3 linked regions of the Pelodiscus sinensis genome follow. The protein of the gene in region 1 purifies or fractionates together with the protein of each later gene. This does not show direct contact. Links are inferred from orthologs where the notes say so. Each region holds a gene or a part of one and is shown on either strand. Other genes may lie near its edges. The genes, in order: MAD2L1BP, MAD1L1 and LBR.

Region 1 (7,278 bases):
CGGCCTCTGGCGTCAGAAACACCCGCGGGGCTTCACGGGAAACCGAGTCCGGACAGCTGCCCAGGACTACAACCCCCAGCAAGCACCACGCTGCACAGCACACGCAGCTCGGAAAACTGCACTTCCCATGATGCACCGCGCCAGTCACACTGACTCGCAAAGGCCCACGGGCGCAGCAGTCTCTACACGCAGAATTACCGCACTTAGAAAGGACTACAGCTCCCAGCATGCACGAAAGAAAAAAGCGTCCTTTCCTTCCGGAGCTGCTGAGCAGGGACTCCCGGGAGTTGTGGTTTTCCAGTTTATTGAGGTTGTTGGTTCCCTGCTAGCTTACCATTTTGCGATGGTTTCAGGACAGGCCCATTTCTTGTGTATGCTTTTTCACCAGCCTGTCTTCATGAGTGGAACTGGGGCCCCTGGAGAGAGACAGAATAGCATCACTTGTGTAGGGTTGCCAGGTGTCGGGTTTTCTACTGGACAGTCTGGTATTTGCACCGTCTGTCCAGTAGAAAAATTCAGACTTTCAGGTATTTTCTGAATTTCCAACTGGGCGCTGGACGGAAGCCTGGTTGGGGGCGGGGGAGTGACTGGGAGGCGGGGCTGCGATTGGCGCTGGGAACCCTTTGTTCGTGTGCAAAAGCCGGGTGGTGGGAGTGGCTCCCAGCCCCTCCCCCGCCCCTGCCTGGCTTTTGCTCGCAACTAAAGGGAGTGCCTGCTGGGGGCATGGCCCAAAGGACTCTGGCTGTAGCCAGTGCCTGCACCCCTCCCCCCCCGCCAAGTCTGCTTCCCACCCCCCTTCCTCCGGGCCCCCCTCTCCGCCCGGCCAGCCCCACGACCCCTGGCTTCCCCCCACCAGCTCTGCTTCCCACCCCGCCCACCTCCCGGCCAGCCTCACCCCTGTCCCAGCAGGTTCTTTCCCCCTCCCCTGCCCGCCCACGATCAAGTGTGTCCGTTTTTTTGGTGGGGTCTACCTGGCAACCCTACACCTGTACCATTCTCTTCCCAGACTACTTAAAGTGCTTCCAAGGTAACATTTGATGGTGGGGCCTGTTGCCTCCCCGGGCTGTTTCTCTGTACTATAGCGGTGATTGACATCATTCTATGTCAACCAAAACCCAGGAAGCTGCTGATGCAGTTTCATGGTTGGGTGTAGTTTGGGCAACAACATTGAAACCCAATTTCTAAAATCTATAGATTTACATGCTGCACACAGTGCTTGTGTGTATGGTGCTATATATGTGCATAAAACCCCTCCCATCCTCTGGATATCCTGGTCCTATGTACCATAAGAGAGAAATACAGGTGCTACCACCATATAATACATTCAAACCAATATATATCAAGACACACATAATAGAAGTTTAATGGAAAATAATAAAGAGCAATGTTATTTGATAAAGCACTTCAAAACAGTACATTGTATAGTTTCAGCAAGTTACCATATAATAAATACATTTCTATAAGGACAATATGCTAAAATATATTTATATCAAACATACTGTCACATGTTAACAATAAAGCAAGAATTTTGGACTGAAAAAACTCCTGAGTACTATTTCCAGTTTCCCCACTAATTGTATAGTTTTGACCAAGTCACTTTGTCTCTATTGAGGATGTATTATTGACATTTGTAAAGCACTTTGAAACTCTTTGATGAAAAGTGCTATAGAAGACTTAGACTTAGTCCTGTGGCACTTTATATATATATATATATATATATATATATATATATATATATATATACACACACACACACACACACACACACACACACACTATCATGAGCCTTTGTGGGCAAAACCCACTTCTTCATATGAGATAATCTTGAGTGAAGAAGTGGGTTTTCCTCATGAAAGCTCATGTGATGCACACTCTCTCTCTCTCTCTCTCTCTGTTTATATATATCTATATCTATATTTGTTAGTCTCTAAGGGGCCACATTGTTTTTAAAGTTACAGACCACATGGCTACTCCTCTGAAACTAATAGAAGACTTAGGATAAACTTAAAAAACAACAAATAGTCTGGTAGCACTTTAAAGACTAACAGGCAATCTAAATATATTACATTGACACACTAACCATATTACACACAAGACTATGCAAAGCCACAGAACTACAGATCCCATCATGCATTTGAAATATACAAATTGGACTCCTCCCCCCCCCATGTTGATTTTTAAAATTGCAGCCAATGATAAATCAGGGATGCTTTGTTTTCAAAAACTAGCTGTAGCCACACACTCTCAGTGCTTCAGGGCGCCTCCTCCTTCAGGGCTGACCTCCAAAGGAAACAAATTGCATCATGTACTACAAATAGCTGAGAACAGAAAACCAGGTCAGAGCAGTTCATTCAGCTAGAATAGCAGTGTATACTACTGCCTCTGCACAATTGTGGTATGATATCTGTTGTGGATGATACGGACACAAAATGTGGTATTTAATCACTGTGATGATAATATTTTAGCCATGACTAATATATTACCAGTACGATGATTACTATAACTAATTATAAAAATGGAATTTATATAAAAGGCAATGAAAGGAAGATGAAAAAGCTCTCTGAACTAGAACTCAGGAATCCTGACTATTTAGTGTGTGTCTACTGTGGGTTTTGCTCAACAAACCTCATGATACTGTATATATTTTAGTTAATCTCTACGGTGCCAACTACTCGTCATTTTTGAAGTTACAGACTAATATGGCAGTCCTTCTGAATCTATATATATAGGTGAACCTGAAACACCCTGGGTGCGTCTAGACTGGCAAGATTTTGCGCAAAAGCATTTGCTTTTGCACAAAATCTTGCCGCCTGTCAACACTGGCCGCAAGTATTTGCGCAAGAACCACTGATTTTGTACAGATCGGCTGTGTCTACATTGGCACCCTTTTCCGGAAAAGGGATGCTAATGAGACCAGCTGGAATTGCAAATGCCGCGGGGGATTTAAATATCCCCCGCGGCATTTGCATGAACATGGCTGCCGCTTTTATCTGGCTCGGGGTTTTGCCAGAGAAAAGTGCCAGTCTAGATGGGATCTTGCGGAAAATAAACCTACTTGCAAGTAGGAATAAGGGATCTTCCGGAAAAGGGTTTATTTTCTGCAAGATCCCGTCTACACTGGCGCTTTTCTCCGGCAAAACCTCGAGCCGGAAAAAAGTGGCAGCCATGTTCATGCAAATGCCGTGGGGGATATTTAAATCCCCCGCGGCATTTGTAATTCTGACTGGTCTCATTAGCATCCCTTTTCCGGAAAAGGGTGCCAATGTAGACACAGCCTACAGGTATTCTTGCACAAGAGGCCTAGTGTAGACAGGCAAGTTAATTTCTTGCGCAAGAGAGCGTCTACACTGGCACGGATACTTTTGCGCAAAAGACATCTTTTTTGCGCAAAAGCATCCGTGCCAGGGTAGACGCTCTCTTGCGCAAATACTTTTAACGGAAAAACTTTTCCGTTAAAAGTATTTGTGCAAAATCATGCCAGTCTAGATGCAGCCCCTGGGGAAAAGCAAGGGAGGGAATTAAATGGGTTCCTTATAAATTGGATCCCCCCCTTGCATTTTTGTATACCATAGTATCAAGGCAGATAGATTTATTCTGACACCTTTTAACTTGGCTAGGAGAACAAACCGATCTTGGCTACCATCATGCCACAAACTAAAGGCCAGGTAGAGGTCTTTCTAGTGATCGCTCACTGAAAACAGGAAGAGATGTCAGCTACAGGGTCTTTTTTATTTTTGTTCTGTGTTGAGATCCGCTTGAGTGGAACAGGATCTTGTCAATGGACCCTTGGGTGTGGACCAAAGACAATGACTTATTTTTCTCATACTATTGATGAAACTAACTTGTGAGAAGAAGGGGATTAATCTTCCATAACACACCATTTCCCTGTTTTTAATGTGCATTTCCAGCTGGTTTGCTATAGGCAGCATTGTCTAGTGATTAGCACAGAGGAGAGATTGAAATGCAGGGCTCCTGGAATTTACTTCCCACTCTACAACAACATCACTGTGGCTACGTCTACACGATCAGTTTGCTTGGCAAAAAATATGCTAATGAGAGACTCATTTGCATGAGTTACAATCTCATTTGCATATTTTCTGCCAATCCATTTTTGCGCAAAAACAAACAGTGTGGACGTTACGTTTTCTTTTTGCGCAAGATTCTTACGCCCGAAAAAAGGAGGTTTACCGATCCTGCGAAAAAAGCGGTTTTTGTGCAAAAATAAAATGTCCCCACAAGGCGGGCGGAGGGAACACTAATGTGCCCTAAGAAAAGATGGCGCCGGCGGGGTCACGGCCACCGGAAGGAGCAGGGACGTGAATGTCCCGTGATGCCCCGGGGCGGCGGCCATTCAACTTGGGGCCGGGAGTGGGCAGCTGAGCGTGAGGCCGAAGATGGCGGGGATGGGCCGCCAGGAGCGCGCAGGTGAGGGGCGGGCCCGGGCTCCTCTCCCCTCCCCACCCGCGCCGAGCGACCTCTCCCCTCTCCACGCAGCTGACCTGCTCCAGACCGAGCCCCTGGAGGCCCCGACGCTGACTCCGGACCCCGCCGCGGGATGGGGCGGCAGCGGGGCGGCAGCGGCGCCGCTTCTCCCCACGCAGGGCCCGGCCGGCCGCGCCCCGGGCTGCCGCTCGGTCTCGGTGGTGTTCCCCGGCCCCGTGACCCGGCAGGGCTGCTGCCACTTCGCCTGCGAGCTCCTCAAGCACGTGCTGCACCAGCGGCACCAGCTGCCCCTGCCCTACGAGCAGCTGGCCTACTTCTACCGGCGGGCGCTGCCCCGCCCGCCGCAGGTAAGCCTGGGCCGCCGGCCGAGCGAGAGCCAGCCCTGGATCCTGGCAGCCGGGTGCGTTCCGCGCTTGCCCGGTGAGACGCTGTTTTCCTGGGCTGGCTGCTGGCCGCTACCTCCCCTCCAGCAAATCTGCTTCATTCCTCTGCCTGCGCAACAGGTCAATCTCTGCGGGTGCTTTTGCCTTCCGGGAATCTCTGCCTCCAGCCCCAGCGCTGTAGTGACTTTGCCTTGGGCTGAGGAGGGCTGGAGACCGTTCCCTGCATGTTCTGCAAAAGTCAGCCTACTGTGCCAGGCCAGATAGGCCTTCCCAGCCGCACCCTCCCGAGGTAGGATGATCTGATACACTGGTTCAAGAGACAGCAGTTACAGATCAAAGTAGTAAGGTTTCTGGTTGGTTCAGGCCCAGCAGTGACTGGCTGCAGGGTCTTGGCTGGACTGGCTATCTTTAGGAACCAGTGGGAGATGGGACATGAAAGTGTCTAAGCTCCCAAGTTTGCACAACTAGGATAGACCTTCAGACGTCTCAGAAACAGGGAGAAGGGGAAGTCCATCATGTAACTGAAATAGGCTATTGGTAATAGAAACTTCCATGTGTTATGGAGATGATTATTAAACTCATCAGGATAGCAACACAGGGTATATGGACAGCGTTTCAGAGCTATTTAGTCTGTTGGGCAATAAAACTTTGAAAAAAGATCAGGTGGCTCATAATCTTTCTCACTGAATAAAGTGGCACTGGCTCCCAAGGCAAGTCAGCCTTTTCCAAGAATTGGATAGCTAATCTACTGGATAGCTGTTGTCTTGATTTGTAGCCTCTATCAACATACCTTCTGTATTTCCAGTTGCATGCATTGTTTTTCTCAATGCAGTCAGTGTTTATATTTAATGTGACACAATATCCTAAAGAGAATACACTTCTCTCTGGCTGGTCAAGTAGTTTTATCTACAGATCTTAGAGCACAGCAGAACATCGGCCTCCTAAGAAAATCCAGAGAGGCTGAATGTTGACTAAAATGCTCATTGAGCTATGCCAAGCTGTGAGAGGTTTCTAGCTTCATTATATCCATCTTGATATCTTTTATTTCTACTGACCTTAAATTCAGGAAACACTAGTAATGAACTCATTCAATGTTGGGTCCCACCAAGACACCAAGATTCCTTTTTTCAGGTTTTTAAGGAAAAAAAACCCTTAGTTTTTCTTAAAATATCTGTTCTTTCTTCTGTTGGGTCTGGTGGTTCAAGATGCTAAATGCAGTCAAATACACCACCACTTGCCTAATATTTCAGAATATACTTTTTCCTTGGCAGGATGGTGATGCAATTAAGAAGAAGCCACAGCCTACAGACCGAGGGAGCAGCAGGAAATGTCAGCAAGTGCTAATGGAGCTGGAGGGAGTGTTCCGGCATTTGGAAGCCATATTCAATCTGACCTTGGTTCCCCGGATCCTTATTCTGCTTGGAGGAAATGCCATGAGCCCTAAGGAGCTCTATGAGATCAATTTGGAGGGCATCTCTGTGGGCAATGCTGAGGAGAGCCTGCAAACACCGACCTGTGTTCGTAAGCTTTTCCATTCACTCTTCCTTGCAGATGTCTTCAGTGAGTTACAGGTTGTTCCTGCTATGGGCACCATTGTCATGGTACAGGGGCACCGTGACTGTGGCATTGACTGGTTCCGACCAAAGCTCAACTACAAAGTGCCAACACGAGGGAGGAAGCTGACTGTCAACTTGTCCTGTGGTGGAAACAGCAGTACAAATCCATCTAATCAGCAGGGAATGACTTCTGCCTGGGACAGCTACATATGGTTCCAAGCACCAGTGACACTTAAGGGCTTCCATGAATGACTCATGCTCTCTAGCATTTTAATAGGGCATTTTATAATCTGGTGCTACTTTAGTTAATACGTAAGAATGTTTTTATGATCTGTAACTATACATTCTCTCCTCAGAATCCTATATCCAGGGAATGTGCTACCTACGTGCAGCTGGGGTGTATTTCACTGTCCATAAAACAAAGCTTTAAATGGCCCCATGCAAGGGATAAGCACTAATGCAGTTTTGTTCACAGATGTCAATTTCTTGGTGAAACTGAGTCAGGAACCCTAGAGAGTTGGTGGGAGTAATTCAATTTATGTGCAGCATGCCCACTCACCCCCAAGAATATCAAGGTATTCATACAGCTGTTCTCTAGCTGCTGCAAGAGCAATGTGCAATGTTAATGAATGGATTGGGACTTGAATAATCTAAATTTATGCTTAATATGGGTGTGGCAAAGATTATATAGCAGGTTTTACTAAGCAACTTGGTCTCTCATCTCCTTTACAGTCTGGCAATATCATAAAGATTAGAGAGAGAGCTGAGAAGTTGCTTAGCTATAAGAAAATCCACTTAGCATCCCTTATACAAAGGATGCTCTAAAGAAGACCTCTAAACAAGAGTCTTTTGCTCAGGACTGTTTTCTATGCTTGTGAGAATCTGTCTGAGCAATG
Region 2 (7,577 bases), on another chromosome or scaffold:
TGAAACAGGGAATGGCTTGGGAGTTCCTGGGCCAGAAACACAGTGGTAAGAGGGCCAGCTTCCCTCCCCCTTTTCTGCCCACCTACTCAGCAACCTAGCTAATAGGTTACCAAGTCCCCAGGGACCCAGCCACACAATTTTAAATGCAATGGAAATTTAAATAAAGATACCAAGGCCTTACTTTACACTCAGACACATAATTAGAGATCCATAACAAAGCTACAAAACTCAAAACTTGTGTAAGACATCTTGGACATTGCTAAAGTGTCCATCGCTATAGCATCCATGAAGACTGGTTTAGTAAATTAAAATTTATGCTTCAAAGACTACAATTCTGGTCCAGATTGAGGTCCCCAATAGAATTAATTTGGTGATCTCAATTCAGTCCTCAGAGTCAATATCATAAAAATGCCATGGATAGTTTAGCACACCTAACAGTATGTTTTCAAGAAAGAAATGGACAAGGCAGGAAAAACTGACCATCACCCCGAGCAAACCATCAGTTAAGCTCAGTCATGGGGGCAAGATGAAATCAAAATACAGCTGCCTAAGTTGACCTACAGATAAGTTAAAGGGAGAGAATTGAAGAAAACCAATTGAATACTGACCAGGACAAAGAGTCAGGCCCATAACTTACTTTTTTCTTAAATGAATGGGTTTAAGAGTTTTATTTTGGGAGCAAATTGTCTCCATCATTGGCAATGTTGGGATAGCAATGTAAGAAAGGACAGCCTCTGTTTCTTAACTAAAAAAATTCCCATGCCTGATATCAAAATAAATCTAAATTCTTAACTCCAGGTGTGAATGAACCAGGGATGTCTCACCTGAACCCTCTGCTGGTACTGCATATGCAAGGTACTTGGAAGTGATCCTGGTGCAGCCAGACTAGATGCCCCCTCCACACGCTGTGAAATGAAGTTGTTGAGAGATCGCAAGGCAGAGAACACAGTTGTATTGTCCTCTGAGTTCTCCATGGTGAGCTCTCTGCTGTAAAACACAGACACACAAAGGCAAAAGTGAAACATCCAGGGCAATCTTATTCACCGCTATAACATCAGGTAAGCATACCCCCTTCTTCAAGTCATTCTGAAAAAGCATTTCTCAAATACAGCCACAAGAAGGTTTTTTTAGAATTTATTTTGCATCCACAATAGCTTCTACAGCATAGAAGGGCAAAGCAGAGTATGGGGACAAAAGCAGCAGTTCCTCCTTGCAGCGCCCAATTGTTGCTCCTGGGCAGCAAAATGTGCCGCTTTCATGTTTACACTGGCACTGCCAGTAGGGAGCATTGTCCTGCACAGCACAACCTCCTCAGGGGCTCGAGGAAGTGCCTCTGGAGACACAGTGCATGCAGCTCTTAGTTTCTGGGATGCTCCTCCAGGTAGCTTTCCCACTGCTGCCCAGGAAACCTGGGACACTGCACACAGTTGGTGAGTTCATGACCCACTTTCCCAGATGGCAGAAATAGAGAGACAGGTTTGCCAGGGCAGCCACCAGCAAGAGTTGGTGGCTGCACTCTGAGGTCACCACAAATTTTATTGTGAAAACCCCTGCTCGAGTCCACATTCTTCTCATATACATTGGGCCCTGCCAAATTCATGGGTGTGAAAAACTGCAACACAGACTATGAAATTTGACTATCGTAGGGGTGTCATGATATTGCCACACTTACTTCTGCCCTGCCTTCAGAGTAATGGCTGCTAGGCGGGCATCCAGTTCTAAAGGCAGTGTTGCCACTAGCAGCAGTTAAGAATTAAGAGTGGTATGGTATGGAGGTCACCACCATAAGAACATAAGAACATAAGAACGGACGTACTGGGTCAGACCAAAGGTCCATCTAGCCCAGTATCCTGTCTGCCAACAGTGGCCAGCACCAGGTGCCCCAGAGAGGGTGGACCGAAGACTATGATCAAGCGATTTGTCTCCTGCCATCCCTCTCCAGCCTCTGACAACAGAGGCCAAGGACACCATTTTATCCCCTGGCTAATAGCCTTTTATGGACCTATCCTCCATGAAATTATCTAGCTTCTCTTTAAACTCTATTATAGTCCTAGCCTTCACAGCCTCCTCTGGCAAGGAGTTCCACAGGTTGACAACACGCTGTGTGAAGAAGAACTTTCTTTTATTAGTTTTAAACCTGCTCCCCATTAATTTCATTTGGTGTCCTCTAGTTCTTCTATTTAGGGAACTAATAAATAACTTTTCTTTATCGGCCCTCTCCACACCGCTCATGATTTTATATACCTCTATCATATCCCCCCCTCAGTCTCCTCTTTTCTAAACTGAAAAGTCCCAGTCGCTTTAACCTCTCCTCATATTTCCCTCTAATACTTCACATCCCTCAGCAGAATGAATTTTGTTATGTGCACCAATCTGGAAGCGATGTGTCCACCCCTCCCCAGGACATGGCAGATTGGAGACCGGGTTAAATTGGGGCAGGGCTGTTCCCCTGAGGGATGAGGTTCTGTGCCCGAGGTGAAGGGGCAGGACCCTGTACAGATGCCCACGTGAGGCAGGGCCCTGCCTTGCTGCCCCAGGTGGGTACAGTATTGGGTGGATGGGGCCCTGCGCTGCTCCCCGGGAGAAGAGGGGGAATTCCACAGGGGGCCGTGTCCTGCTGCCGCCCCAGGGGAGAGTCGCTGGGGGTGTCTGGTGAGGCTCAGCGCCAGCGAGGGGGACCCTACGGTGCTGCTGCTCCCCTGGGATCCCACCTGGCTGCCCCGGCTGGGGAGGGTCAGTGTTGGGGGCGGGACCCTCTGCTGCTGCCCCCCCCCCAGGAGTCAGTGTGAGGGAGGGGCCCTGCCGCGCTGCCCCAGAGGGAACAGGGGGAGGGGCGCTGCCTGAGGGGGGGTCAGGGTCAGAGCGCGGGACCCCGACGGGAGGGGGGGGTGTCAGGGCGGGAAGACGCCTGTGCTGCCACGGAACTGCAGGGCGGAGCCGAGCCAATCCGATTACCGCCCGGGGCGCGAGACAGCGCGCGGGTCTCTCGCACTCACCCACAGCAGCCGGCTCCCCGCCTCCTGCTTGGATCTCCCTCCTCGTCCTGCCCCGAGATCTCACGAGAACTCGAACCCAGCTCCCGCGAGACGAACCTTCCCGCCCCGCCTCCTCCCCCCCGACGCACACACTTTACCGTAATATTCGGGTTATACGTGCGTCCAGGGGTAGCTCCGTGGTCCTCTTACCGCTAGGCGCATGCACAAAGTTCCTATTTCCCCAGTGTGGTAGAGTAAAAACTGACGGTGCCATGGCAACGCTGTATCTGGGAGGATGATTTTGTGATTCAGACCCTGGAGTAGGAGTTGAGACACCGGGTTCCAGTTTCAACTCTGCCAGAGCAAGTCTGTCTGACCAGCTTGCTCAGGCTGTGGTTGTTCAGTATAGGGACGAGTCGACTGTCCCATAAGCAAATGCTTATCCAATAGTTGACAGGATAGTTGACTAGTTGATTCCTCCCCTTGCTGTCTCTATGAGGTAGAGGTAGCAAGGGGGAAAGAAGAGGAAGCACTTCAAAGCAGCAGTGCTGCTTGAAGCCGGGGGGCCAGACCCTGGACTCCATGCAGCACTGCCGCTTTGAAAAGCCACGTGCAATTGGGGGCCATCTGGAATGTCCCCAGGCTGCATGTGGCATTTTAAAGTGGCAACACCACATGGAGCCCGGGATCAGCTGGGGACTCCCCAGCTGACCCCCAGTTCTGTGTAGTGCTGCCACTTTGAAATGCCATGGGAAGCCCAGCATTGGGCTGCACGCAGATTTTCAAAGCAGTTAACTGACCCCACGCTCTGCAGCGCTGCCGCTTTGCAACACTGCAGAGAGTCTGATACCCCGGCATCTGGATTTCTTTTTGGGCTTCTAAGCTCTAGTGCAATATAAATGTTTACAAAGTAGTGATTCTAATAAGAGACACATCCTTTACAGAAAGGACATGAGGGCACACTGCCAGTGACCATCCCTTCTCCAACAAGGCGGGAGGCACCATACTAGAAGTTATGTTGTCAACATACAGGAGAGTGAGTAACCCACCCAATCCATCCAGATCTTCACAACTCCTGACCATAGTGACAACAATGCCTACATGCCACTTATTGCACTGTGCAGTTTCCTCTATTGGATTGAACCAGGGCACTTGCAGATTTTCTTCACCTGCCACTTCTTCACAGACAGAAATATCAGGAGGGACTCCTAGGATGATACACACCACAGGCTGCACCTACGGGCAGCCAGACCTGATCACATATTCTCTACTAAGCTTTCAAAGCAAAGTGCTACCACAGACTAACAACTTCAGTAGCAAATATAACTGTGTCTACATTGGATTTGAAGTCAGTGACCAGCATTACTGCTGTCAGGAGTAGGCAAATATGCTCAAGGTTCACTATGGGCAGTGGAAAACAAAAAAGCCTAAAGGGAATGAAGAACCTTTTTAAGCTCCTGGTGCTGTCCCTCTGTAAGCAGATAAAGAATTTATGAATTCTCACTTCCATTTTCTTTCCTCGGGCTTGGTATGCAATTGCACCTTTGCCCCTTCTGACTAGAACTGATGAATATGAAGGTGGGAAACTCAGCAATTCACTAAAGAATTAACTAAAAAAAAGAATTAAGGATGCCCACTGCTAGCTTGAGCCACACTAGAGAGAGGGTGTAGTTTAATCAAACCATGTGTTTAAGCAAAAGTCCAAAATACATTACAGTAACTAAAATATATACCTTGTAAACTTCCTTGCAATGCTAAACTGGGATTCCCAGTTACGCTTCCACTGTGTGTACAAGTGATTCTGACCAGCTCTCTCCTGATGCTGCATGAGAGAGTCTCCAGCACTTTGCTTTCGTTGGGGTTCAGTAGCCTAGAATTCTAATTTCAGAAAAAGTCCTGCTCAGCTCAGATAGAAGCATACCAGATGAAAACAGTCTTCGGGGAATTTAGCTACCAAGCTCTAACAGGGCTCAACTCAGCACATGCAAAAACTGATTTTTCAGAGGCTTGTTGAGCTGGTTAAATGTGGTTGGATTGTCATGCGGACAACAAAAGGCATATCCATGACAAGAAAGCTACTCTTCTTATAAGCTTCAAGACCTTGCTCCAAAGCCTGAGCACAACAGATCTTCTCAAAGAATAAGTCACCCAACATTTTTAAGACAGGCAAACATGCATTTTCCTAGCCTCTCTCTTAGAAACAGTTTAACCACTTCAGCCTAAGGCAGATAGTTGGCATGGAAATTTTCAGCCCATATAGTTATTTGGCACAATGTGCTAATAAATTGCACTTTTAGGAAAAATTCAGAAGTAAAACTGAATGATAGCTGCCTTCTCTTCAGTATCATGACAGCTGCGTTGCATTTAGTTCAAAGTATAACTATGATCACAAAGTAGAAATCTGAAACACACACATGTACACAAATCTTTAAGTAGTGTTTTATTTTTATTCCCATCCCCCACGGGCAGGTTTTATACATAAGAATGGCCATACTGGGTCAGACCAAAGGTCCACCTAGCCCAACATCCTCTCTGCTGACAGTGGCCAATGCCATGTGCCCCAAAGAGAATGAAAAGAACAGAATCGTCAAGTGATCCATTTCCTGTTGCCCATTTCAAGCTTCTGACAAACAGAGGCTACAGCACAGGCAGTTGGTGAAGGTAGGGCTGGGGGAGGCAAGCCCTCAGCCCCATCCCCAGCCTCGCACCTTCGGCTGAGGTCCTTCACATCCATAGGAGCCAAGCCACCTCCTCACAGCCCCACCATGGGGAAGCAGGGCAGCATGCTGTGCGCGCCTACCACCACCACAGGGAAGAAGACAGTGGGTGCGCACTGTTGTGTAAAACCTCCGCCCAAGCTGGTATAATGTGGATGTAAGACATGTAATTTTCTGTTATTGTAAGTCAGGTAACTTTGTTATTTTAAGTCGTCAGCTTCAGCCATTGCAAGTCCCAAAACTTTCTATTGTACGCCATGTAACTCTCAACTATTCTAAGTTATATCAGTTTCTATTGCAAGCCATGTAATTTTCAAGTAATGTTTCAAGTTCTGCAACCTCTTTGCAAGCTTTGTAACTTCCAGCTATTGCTTATATAATCTTTAAGCTCTGTAACATTCTATCCTGTGACAAGGGAGTGCATGGATATGTGTAAGTGGTAAGAGAGTGTAAATAGGGTTATGTCTGCACCTTTGTGGAGAGGAGCCATGAGGCTACAGACTTGAAGCCAGGGGCTAGGTGGGGTCTGATGTAGTCTTTGCTTGCACGTGAGAAAGACAAGAATGGAGGTGCAGCGAAGATGAGAAAAAGGAATTAATATGCATGAGGAAAATGAGGTCAGGTGGGCCTCTTGGGCTAAGTCTAGTCTTCAGGCTTCTTTCGGAACAAACTTTTCCGAAAGAGATCTGCCGAAAAACTTCTTCCAAAAGAGAGTGTCTACACATAAAAGAATAGTGATAGAAATGTAGCCGTGTTAGTCTGGGGTAGTTGAAGCAAAATGCAGGACAATGTAGCACTTTAAAGACTAACAAGATGGTTTATTAGATGATGAGCTTTCGTGGGCCAGACCCACTTCCTCAGATCAAATAGTGGAAGAAAGTAGTCACAACCATATATACCAAAGGATACAATTAAAAAAAATGAACAAATATGAAAAGGACAAATCACATTGCAGAACAGAAGGGGGATGCGGGGGGGTGGGAAGGGGGAGGAAGGAAGGTAAGTGTCTGTGAATTGCTGATATTAAAGGTAGGGAGAGTGGGATGTTTGTGAGTTAATGGTATTACAGGTGATAATTGGGGAAACTGTCTTGGTAATGGGTGAGAAAGTTCAAAGTCTTGTTAAGTCCTTGGTGATAAGTGTCGAATTTTAACATGAATGACAGTTCAGAGGATTCCCTTTCAAGTGCAGATGTAAAAGGTCTTTGTAGCAGAATGCAGGTGGCTAAGTCATTTAGAGAGTGTCCTTTCTGGTTAAAGTGGCAAGAAACTGTTTTCTCTTTGTGATCTTGTCTGATATCTGTTTTGTGGGCATTAATCCTTTGGCGAAGTGTCTGAGATGTTTGTCCAATGTACATAGCAGACGGACACTTTCGGCACATGATAGCATAGATTATATTTCTGGATGCGCAGGAATATGTGTTCTTGATCTTATAACTTACTTGGTTAGGTCCAATAATGGTATCAGCAGAATGAATATGTGGACAAAGCTGGCAACGGGGTTTGTTGCCAGCTTTGTCCACATATTCATTCTGCTGATACCATTATTGGACCTAACCAAGTAAGTTATAAGATCAAGAACACATATTCCTGCGCATCCAGAAATATAATCTATGCTATCATGTGCCGAAAGTGTCCGTCTGCTATGTACATTGGACAAACATCTCAGACACTTCGCCAAAGGATTAATGCCCACAAAACAGATATCAGACAAGATCACAAAGAGAAAACAGTTTCTTGCCACTTTAACCAGAAAGGACACTCTCTAAATGACTTAGCCACCTGCATTCTGCTACAAAGACCTTTTACATCTGCACTTGAAAGGGAATCCTCTGAACTGTCATTCATGTTAAAATTCGACACTTATCACCAAGGACTTAACAAGA
Region 3 (7,985 bases), about 17 Mb from region 1:
CAGCTAAAATCTGAAGCGTAATAAGCTCTTCCTGTACACACTGGGGCGTCTGTTAGCCTGTTTGGCTACCCTCTGCGACGGGACCTCGGTCCTAGCAGTAAAGTCACGGACGTTAAACTACTTTTCAGGGTGCCCTCCAGCCTCCTAGGCTGCCCACTGCAACGAGACTCTGTGTCTCAGCAGTTGAAGACTTGGGTGTAACACACACGCACACACTGCCCTGACCGTCGGCTGACAGTGGATTGCTTCATGTCTGCCAACATGATTTTGTGATACTGATTCCGGTAAATCAGTGATGTACCTGATTTAATACAGAAGCCTCTTAATAGACTACGTAGTGGAAAATAACATGAACACATGGGCTGCGTCTAGACTGGCAAGTTTTTCCGCAAAAGCAAAAAACTTGCCAGCTGTCTACACTGGCCGCTTTGAATTTGCGCAAGAACACTGACGATCTAATGTAAGATTGTCAGTGTTCTTCCGCAAATATAATGACTCTCCCGTTCGGGAAAAAGCCCTCTTGCACAAATGCTGAGAACCGTTTTGCGCAAAAAAGCCCCGATGGTGAAAATGGCAATCGGGGCTTTCTTGCGCAAAACTGTGTCTAGATTGGAATGGACGCTTTTCTGCAAAAAGTGCTTTTGCGCAAAAGCGTCCGTGCCAATCTAGACGCTCTTTTCCACAAATGCTTTTAATGGAAAAACTTTTCCATTAAAAGCATTTGCGGAAAATCATGCCAGTCTAGACGCAGCCATGGGGTATTGTGTTAAAAGAACACATGGGGTAGTGTGTTAAAGGGGCGGCTATCCCTTTAAACCAGGCATTCGTGCGATTCAGAGGATCAGCTGCGGGGAACCCAGGATCAACTGTGAAGTCCCCAGCTGACTCCGGGCCCCTAGTGGCATACAGCGTAGTATGGAGCCCAGGGTCAGCAGGGGACTCTGAGTCTCCCGCTGATCCTGGGCTCCATGGCTTTGAAATGCACAAGAGCCCCTGCTGGGGACTCTTGTGCATTTCAAAGAAGGCATCTGTGTGCAGCCTGGAGTCAGCGGGATGTCCAGCTGGCCCCAGGATGTACTCGGAGTTCCGCATTTCAAAGGAAGAATGTGGAAATACCTGGCGACTAGTTGACTGAAATTCTGTTGACTTGTTAATTAACCACATTTTAACATCCTTACTCTGAAAACTGACCATTTATTCCTACCCTTTGTTTCCTGTATTTTAACCAGTTACCAATCCATTAAAGGACTTCGCTCTTATCCCATGACAACTTACTTTACTTAAGAGCCTTTGGTGAGGGACCTTGTCAAGGGCTTTCTGGAAATCTAAGTCACGTGAATTCTGGGGGCCTTACTCATGGTTTTTAACAATGTGGAGTTGTCAGTCCTTTAGTGGATACTATTTAGATCACAAAAACAAATTAACAAGTTTATTTTTAGAGTTTTTGGAAGTCTTGCTGGATAGGTGAAGTATTATTTGGGCAAATAATAAGCTCGCTGTTATATCAATTCTCCGTGTCAGAGTTGAAACACTTTGGCAGGACAATGAAGAAGGGGAGCTTGCATTTGCCATTAACTATTTAGTATTTTATGGACAGAGAGGAATTTGAGGGTTTCAATTCAAATACAGCATAGTATTAAATTGCTTTTAAATTAGCATGTTTAAAATTGATAAATCACTTGCCTTTTTGGTGGCAATAAAAAATAACTATTTTGTTCATAGTTTGTGATATTCAAAAATGTTATAGGCTACTGTGTTTGATCCAAAAGATTTTTGCTTTCTGGTGGTGAAGTGATGAAGTGAATCCTGTATTTCCTTTCAACAGCACAGAGATATTGCAAATCTTAGGTTATATGAAGTACTTCTAGATCTTTGGAAAAAGTTGCTAAGCCAATCACAGATGTCTTAAGTAAAATATGACCTAGTTTTATTATAATTCTTACTTTGTCATCCCCAAGTATGACAACCCTTCTTGCCACCCAAGAAAGATAGAAGAAACATCTTTAAAAAAGCAGGGAATAATGTGTGATTTACACATCCTCTTTTTGCACAGATCGTCCTCTCCCAAGACAGCTAATGGAGCTGTCAATCCCAAAAATCAATCTTATGTTCTTCAGTGATAGAGTTTTTGCATCAAATGCCCATGAACCTGGAACTCTTGGCATGACTATAAACCTCAGCCAACTTAGAGAAAAATTACATTTTTGACTTAGCCCCTACCTCCAATAATATTAATTTAAAAAAAACCCCAATTCCTGCAGATGGAAATGATACAGTTCTCTCCCTTCCTTGATCTTCAGGCTTTCAAACAGTGAAGTTAAATAAGGGCGGGAGGGAGGGGTGGTGGTAAGGTAGTATTTTTATTGGACTGCTTTCTTGTTGGACAAAGCTTTTCATGTCTGGAGGAGGAAACCAGAGTGTCCATGCTAAACACATGGTAGGACAGATTGTTAAGCATAAGGGATTCAGACATGTAGTAGGGGACCACTTTAAATGAAGTGGGCAACACAATTATAGAGCAATGGAGAGTTAGTATGCAGCCACATGTGTTCCAAGTTGTTGTAATGAACCATAAAATCAATGCTTCTCTTAAGTCTGTGACTTTTAGGGGCCAATAGTTATGGCTTCAAAAGACAAGCTTGGGAATTCAGGAGTGTTGTGCAAGTCTCCTTTGAGGATGATGACTGAGAAGTCAGATATGGAGCAATCACGTTGTCAAAGATATTTGTGTTATTTAAAAACTGTAGCTATAATTCACCACACATGCAGTTTCACTGTAATTGTAATATAGACAGCACTCTAATACTGCCATCTTTAGATATTGTAAAGTGCCTGATCCTGCTCTACAATATAGCTTCTATCTTCACTTGAACTTTAGACCAGTGTTTCTTAAACTGTGTTCCATGGTACACCTGTGTGCTGTGGAGAACAGAATTTAAAATGGCCACCCTTAAAGGGGCTGGCAACTTTTTTCTCAAAACTCTTCCTCCTCCCCCCGACTTATTTTTTTTTTTGCGCTCAACAAAAAAAAATCCTTGGTATTCCCCCCCATAAAAAAATTGTTTGGTGTTCCTTTGTCTTAAAAAGTTTAAGAAACACTGCTTTAGACAGTATTGCCAATTCTCAGGATAGTTGATGAGTTTATTATAAGTGCAGTTCCCAGATTAATATTATTAAATGAGAATCAGTTAGATACAGCCCCGAAAGCATACTTTCTTGTATATGATTTTATGAGGTACTAGATTTAAAAATGTAGACCTCCCCTCAGGGAGATACCACCTGAGTGTTAGGTTAAAAACCTAGATGAATTAAGGCCTAGAACATCTATGCAGTCCTCAAAATTAGTTCTATAAGTTTGAACTTTGAATGTACTTCCAACTGCTGCTGTGATATGGTATTTAGAAAAGTATCAGAGGCGTAGCCGTGTTAGTCTGAATCTGAAAAAGCGGCAAGGAGTCCCGTGGCACCTTATAGACTAACTGAAGTGTTGGAGCATAAGCTTTCGTGGGCATAGACCCACTTTGTCTGATGCTGACGAAGTGGGTCTTTGCCCATGAAAGCTTATGCTCCAACACTTCAGTTAGTCTATAACGTGCCACGGGACTCCTCGCCGGTATTTAGAAAAATGATTAATAAAAAGTCTGTACACAATGCAGCTAGATATGGAACCAAAATGAGTGTCTCAAACGGTACAATAGCAAAGTTTTCCCTAAAATATTCTGTCCCAGCCCTGTGTTCCTTTTCTGGAACTCTTCCACAAGTTTTAACTTCAGCTAAACTATTTTAGCTTGTCTTTGTTGCTGAAATTGTCCCTCAATCAATTTATCTTGCCCATAATCAGATAAAATCAATTAGTAAAATACTTGTCAATATTATGATTTAGAACAGGGGTGGGGCACCTTTTTTGGGTCAGTGGCCGCTGACCCACAGAAAAATCAGTCAGGGGCTACACACAATTGAGAGGCCCAAACCAAAAAAAAAACCCAACTGCAAACCCCCTCTGCCCTGGCAACCTGAGGAGAAAGATGCTCCCTATGTTCCCCTTGCACACCTCAGCCTGGGGGGGGGGGGGTGACAGCTTAACAGATTTGGTGTACTCCAGCCCAGGGGGGTGCTAGAGCACAACATGGGGGAGGGAGTCCTGAGCCTGTAGGACTAGATCCAAGCAAGGCATGGGCCACAGGTTCCCAACCTCTGATTTAGAATATTAGTGGAGAATAGGCTAACCTCTGCGTGCAAACAGAAATGAACCTGTTGCTGTCAAAGATTGTCAAAGCTAATATTGATCTCACTAAATGGTACTTGGAATAACGCTAGTGATAATTTCTGATTTGTTTGTGTGGGGTTTTTCCTTTGTGCAAAAGTCCGGATTTACTCCTGTCTCTGAGGAAAAGGAATAGCTGTGTCTTATAGTTATGAGAAACAGGTATCATAGCTCATAGGGGCTAAGCCTTCCCTAAACTGCCCCCCCCCCCCAAAGGAGGGGGAAGACTCAGCTCAAGCTGGCCACTGTGGCAGCTTCCACCAAGTGGTGGCCTGGGGCTGGCCAGCCAGCTGGAGGCCCCTGGGTTAGGCAAGTGGTTGGAGACCAGCTGGTAGCCTGGGAAGAGAGGCAGGTGGAAGGGGTGGGGCTGCTGGGCTCCCTTCCTCCGAAGAGGTGTTTGCAGCGCGTCTGGCGCAGAGGCGCTGTGCTGACTGGAGTGGGCACAGACCCCCTACCCCCACCTCTCAGGCGAGGAAGCTAACTCGGTGGCAGAGGCTCTTTCCCCCCAAGGAAACCATTTTCAGCTGGCCAGGCGCTGCCCCAGCCCCGCCCGTTGGTGGCAGAGGGGGGGCTCTGACGGGCCCTTCTCATGAGGGTGAGCGTTGCGGGGAGGGTCTGGGGCGGTGTGAGGGAATCTGTCTCTTCCACCCGCCCCTGCGGCCCGGCCTGGGGAAGGGGCCAGCGGGAGGTTTCCGTCCCAGAGGCGGGAGCAGGGACAACCTCGGACCGGCAGCTCCCGGCTAGGACGCTCCTCTGGAAGGGCCCGAGGGGGCACAAAAGGGTGGAACGCGCCACCCACTCGTAGCCAATTCCCTGTCCCGATCGCGATTCAAACCGGAGGCCTGGCCAATGGTGGCGGTTGGCGCCCAGCACCTCGCAGGAAGGGGCGGGGCTGCAGCCGAAGCCTCGCGCCAGCCGCCCTGCCTGTAACCGTCGCTCGGGGTGTTGGATTTCGTGGCTCTTCTACGGTCCGCTCGGCCCCGGCTCCTGCGGTGTCGCAGAGGCGATTCCTGCTGGCTGGGTGGGGGCGGCAGCCCAGGTAAGGCCCCGGGACTGAGGGCAGCCGGGGGCCGGGACACACCCCCTCACTCAGAGACTTTCCCGGGGAGGAGGGCACCGACCGGTCGCTTCCTCCTTCCCCTCCCCCACGCTCGGGGCCTCGCGACACCGAGACGTTTCTTTCTCTGTCCTGCTGGGGGCTGGTGTGAATTGGCCCCTTCCGTTCCCGGCTCCCTTCCCTCCGCTCTCACCCGCCGCTTAGCTGCGCTCCTTAGCGTCTGGGAGCCGGCGGTGACGGGTTCCCCGAACCCCCCCCGTGCGCGGCGGGGGCAGGGCTGACGCGTCCATGTAAACAGGCGTGCGGTGCCCTCCCCTGCGCGGAGACTGGCCGGCTCCCCCGTGGGTTGAGGCTGTGGGCGGAGGGACATAGGCTCCCTTGCACCCCTATGGAGAGCCGGACCACGGCCGAGTTCTGCGCTTCCCGGCTAAGGAGCGAGGCGCGGGCGGGTTGTGGCCCTGCTGACTGGGGAGCGCGGGGCACAGCGAAACAAACGAGCGCGACCTCACACCGCGCGCTGCAGCGGGGCTTCCGGGGGAGAGGGGGTGGTCACGGGATCGGTTCCTCTTCTCCGGCCTCTCTCTCCACTCGCCTGGCGGGCTGGGGCAGGATTCCCAATGGACAAAACAACCCGGATATCTGTTACATTTCTGTGTCGGGCTGAGACCGCGTATCCTTGAAGCGTTTCTATCAGGATAAATGGGAAACGTTTAAATTATGACGTTTTCCCTCCATTTTGGATGCTTCTGGTTGAAAGTATATTTAAAGGAGACGAATGAGCCTTTTCTCTAATGTCTTGGAGATTTGCTTTGCAAAGACTGCCTGATTTTTTTCCCTATAGGTAGATAGCGTTCCGACGCTTTCAAAAGGGTAGCGGAGTTAGTCTGTAACTAGAAAAACTTAAAAACAACGAATAGTCTAGTTAGTAGCACCTTAAAGACTAACAAAACATATAGCCGGTATCATCAGCTTGCAGGGCAGAGTGGTTAGTGCTGCTCTTTATCAATTGCTTTTCAATTTAAGATGTAAACTGAACAAAAATGGGGGAGATGGAGTGTGTTACTGTCTTTTCTTCCTTTTACAAACCCTCAACACTGGCAAGAAATTAAGTAGTATTTTTGGATAAGGCTAGTGTGAAAGATGCTGTGTGAAAAACTTCTGTGTAAGTCATGCTAATTGATTTTTTTTTTTACTTGACACCCTACTCGTTAGTGAACTATTTTGGTGTGTGTGTGTGTGTGTGTGTGTGTGTGTGTGTGTGTATATATATATGGGTAGCTAATGAAGTCAGAGTTTTGTTTTTGCACTAAACCAATTTAAGTTTGCTTGTTAACACATTTTCCAAATGCAAGTGCATTAAACTACGTTTAAAAATAGTATTAAGATTGTATTTTTCCTAATTGAATTCCTACATCAGTACTACAAATCTAGATTGTAAGTGTAGTGATTATTTGGCCTGAAGTTTTTATATTCAGATTTTCTTGATTTCATGTGAAAGTGCCATAAGTGAGGATAAGAGTAAACATCATCTGCTAGGTCCCATTTGTACAAAAGATGTATATGTGTTTAAATGTTTGTACTATGAACACTTCTTCCATCAAAAGCAGCACCTTAGTGAGTATTGTGGAGAGCTATTCCTAAAGAGTGATTAAATATTATTTAAGTACTATACAGACACAGTAGTGCATAGTTTCACAGTAGTTTCCAGAATATGGGCTATAAAAAGCAAAAAGCAATTTGAAGAACACCGTGACCATAGGAAGACAGATGACATAGGACTCAGTGGTCTCCAACCTTTTTACACCCAAGATCACTTTTTAAATGACAGAACAAGCCAAGATCTACTGGCTGCCCCTTCCTTGAAGCCTCGCCCTCTCTATTCTCCTCTCCATTGCTTGCTATCCCCAACCCTTATACTGCTGCTTTTTTTGTTTCAAGTTTTCTGTAGGAAGAGGTTTTTCCAACATTTGGCCTGTTTAGACTGGGCCAAATATCAGAAAAACCCCTTCTTTTGGAAGCTCCCTTATTCCTTGTGGAAAGAGGACTATAGGAGTGACCGAAAGGGCATGTTTGCTCTTCCATTAAAAAAAGCGGAAGAACAAATACATCCCTGGATGCAGAAGAGTTTTCCTGGGATATCTCCGGAATCCTGAAAAACTCCTGTAGTCTAGCCTTATCCTCGCTGGGTTGAGACATTAGTAATAGAAATGTAGCCGCGTTAGTCTGGTGTAGCCGAAGCAAAATGCAGGACTATGTAGCACTTTAAAGACTAACAAGATGGTTTATTAGATGATGAGCTTTCGTGGGCCAGACCTACTTCCTCAGATCAAATAGTGGAAGAAAATAGTCACAACCATATATACTGAGTTATAAGATCAAGAACACATATTCCTGCGCATCCAGAAATATAATTTATGCTATCATGTGCCGAAAGTGTCCGTCTGCTATGTACATTGGACAAACGTCTCAGACACTTCGCCAAAGGATTAATGCCCACAAAACAGATATCAGACAGGATCACAAAGAAAAAACAATTTCTTGCCATTTCAACCAGAAAGGACACTGTCTCAACGACTTAACTACCTGCATTCTGCTACAAAGACTTTTTCATATGTGTTCATTTTTTTAAATTGTATCCTTTGGTATATTATGGTTGTGACTATT

What was found.
Region 2: the proteins of MAD2L1BP (region 1) and MAD1L1 purify together in Homo sapiens (co-immunoprecipitation; 4 studies listed by BioGRID and IntAct, with this or other methods). This does not show direct contact. The link is inferred for Pelodiscus sinensis from reciprocal best matches to the Homo sapiens genes MAD2L1BP and MAD1L1.
Region 3: the proteins of MAD2L1BP (region 1) and LBR purify together in Homo sapiens (co-immunoprecipitation; 3 studies listed by BioGRID and IntAct, counting the BioPlex papers as one, with this or other methods). This does not show direct contact. The link is inferred for Pelodiscus sinensis from reciprocal best matches to the Homo sapiens genes MAD2L1BP and LBR.

The regions. Positions count from the first base shown.
Region 1 is NC_134713.1:139,340,302-139,347,579, forward strand, and holds the start of MAD2L1BP (MAD2L1-binding protein), read left to right. Parts: upstream 1-4,211; 5' UTR 4,212-4,394; coding exon 4,395-4,790; intron 4,791-6,097; coding exon 6,098-6,634; 3' UTR 6,635-7,278. UniProt on the Homo sapiens protein: May function to silence the spindle checkpoint and allow mitosis to proceed through anaphase by binding MAD2L1 after it has become dissociated from the MAD2L1-CDC20 complex.
Region 2 is NC_134726.1:28,515,401-28,522,977, forward strand, and holds the start of MAD1L1 (mitotic spindle assembly checkpoint protein MAD1), read right to left. Parts: upstream 3,087-7,577; 5' UTR 2,997-3,086; intron 988-2,996; 5' UTR 975-987; coding exon 825-974; intron 1-824. UniProt on the Homo sapiens protein: Component of the spindle-assembly checkpoint that prevents the onset of anaphase until all chromosomes are properly aligned at the metaphase plate.
Region 3 is NC_134713.1:156,527,656-156,535,640, reverse strand, and holds the start of LBR (delta(14)-sterol reductase LBR), read left to right. Parts: upstream 1-4,903; 5' UTR 4,904-5,303; intron 5,304-7,985. UniProt on the Homo sapiens protein: Catalyzes the reduction of the C14-unsaturated bond of lanosterol, as part of the metabolic pathway leading to cholesterol biosynthesis.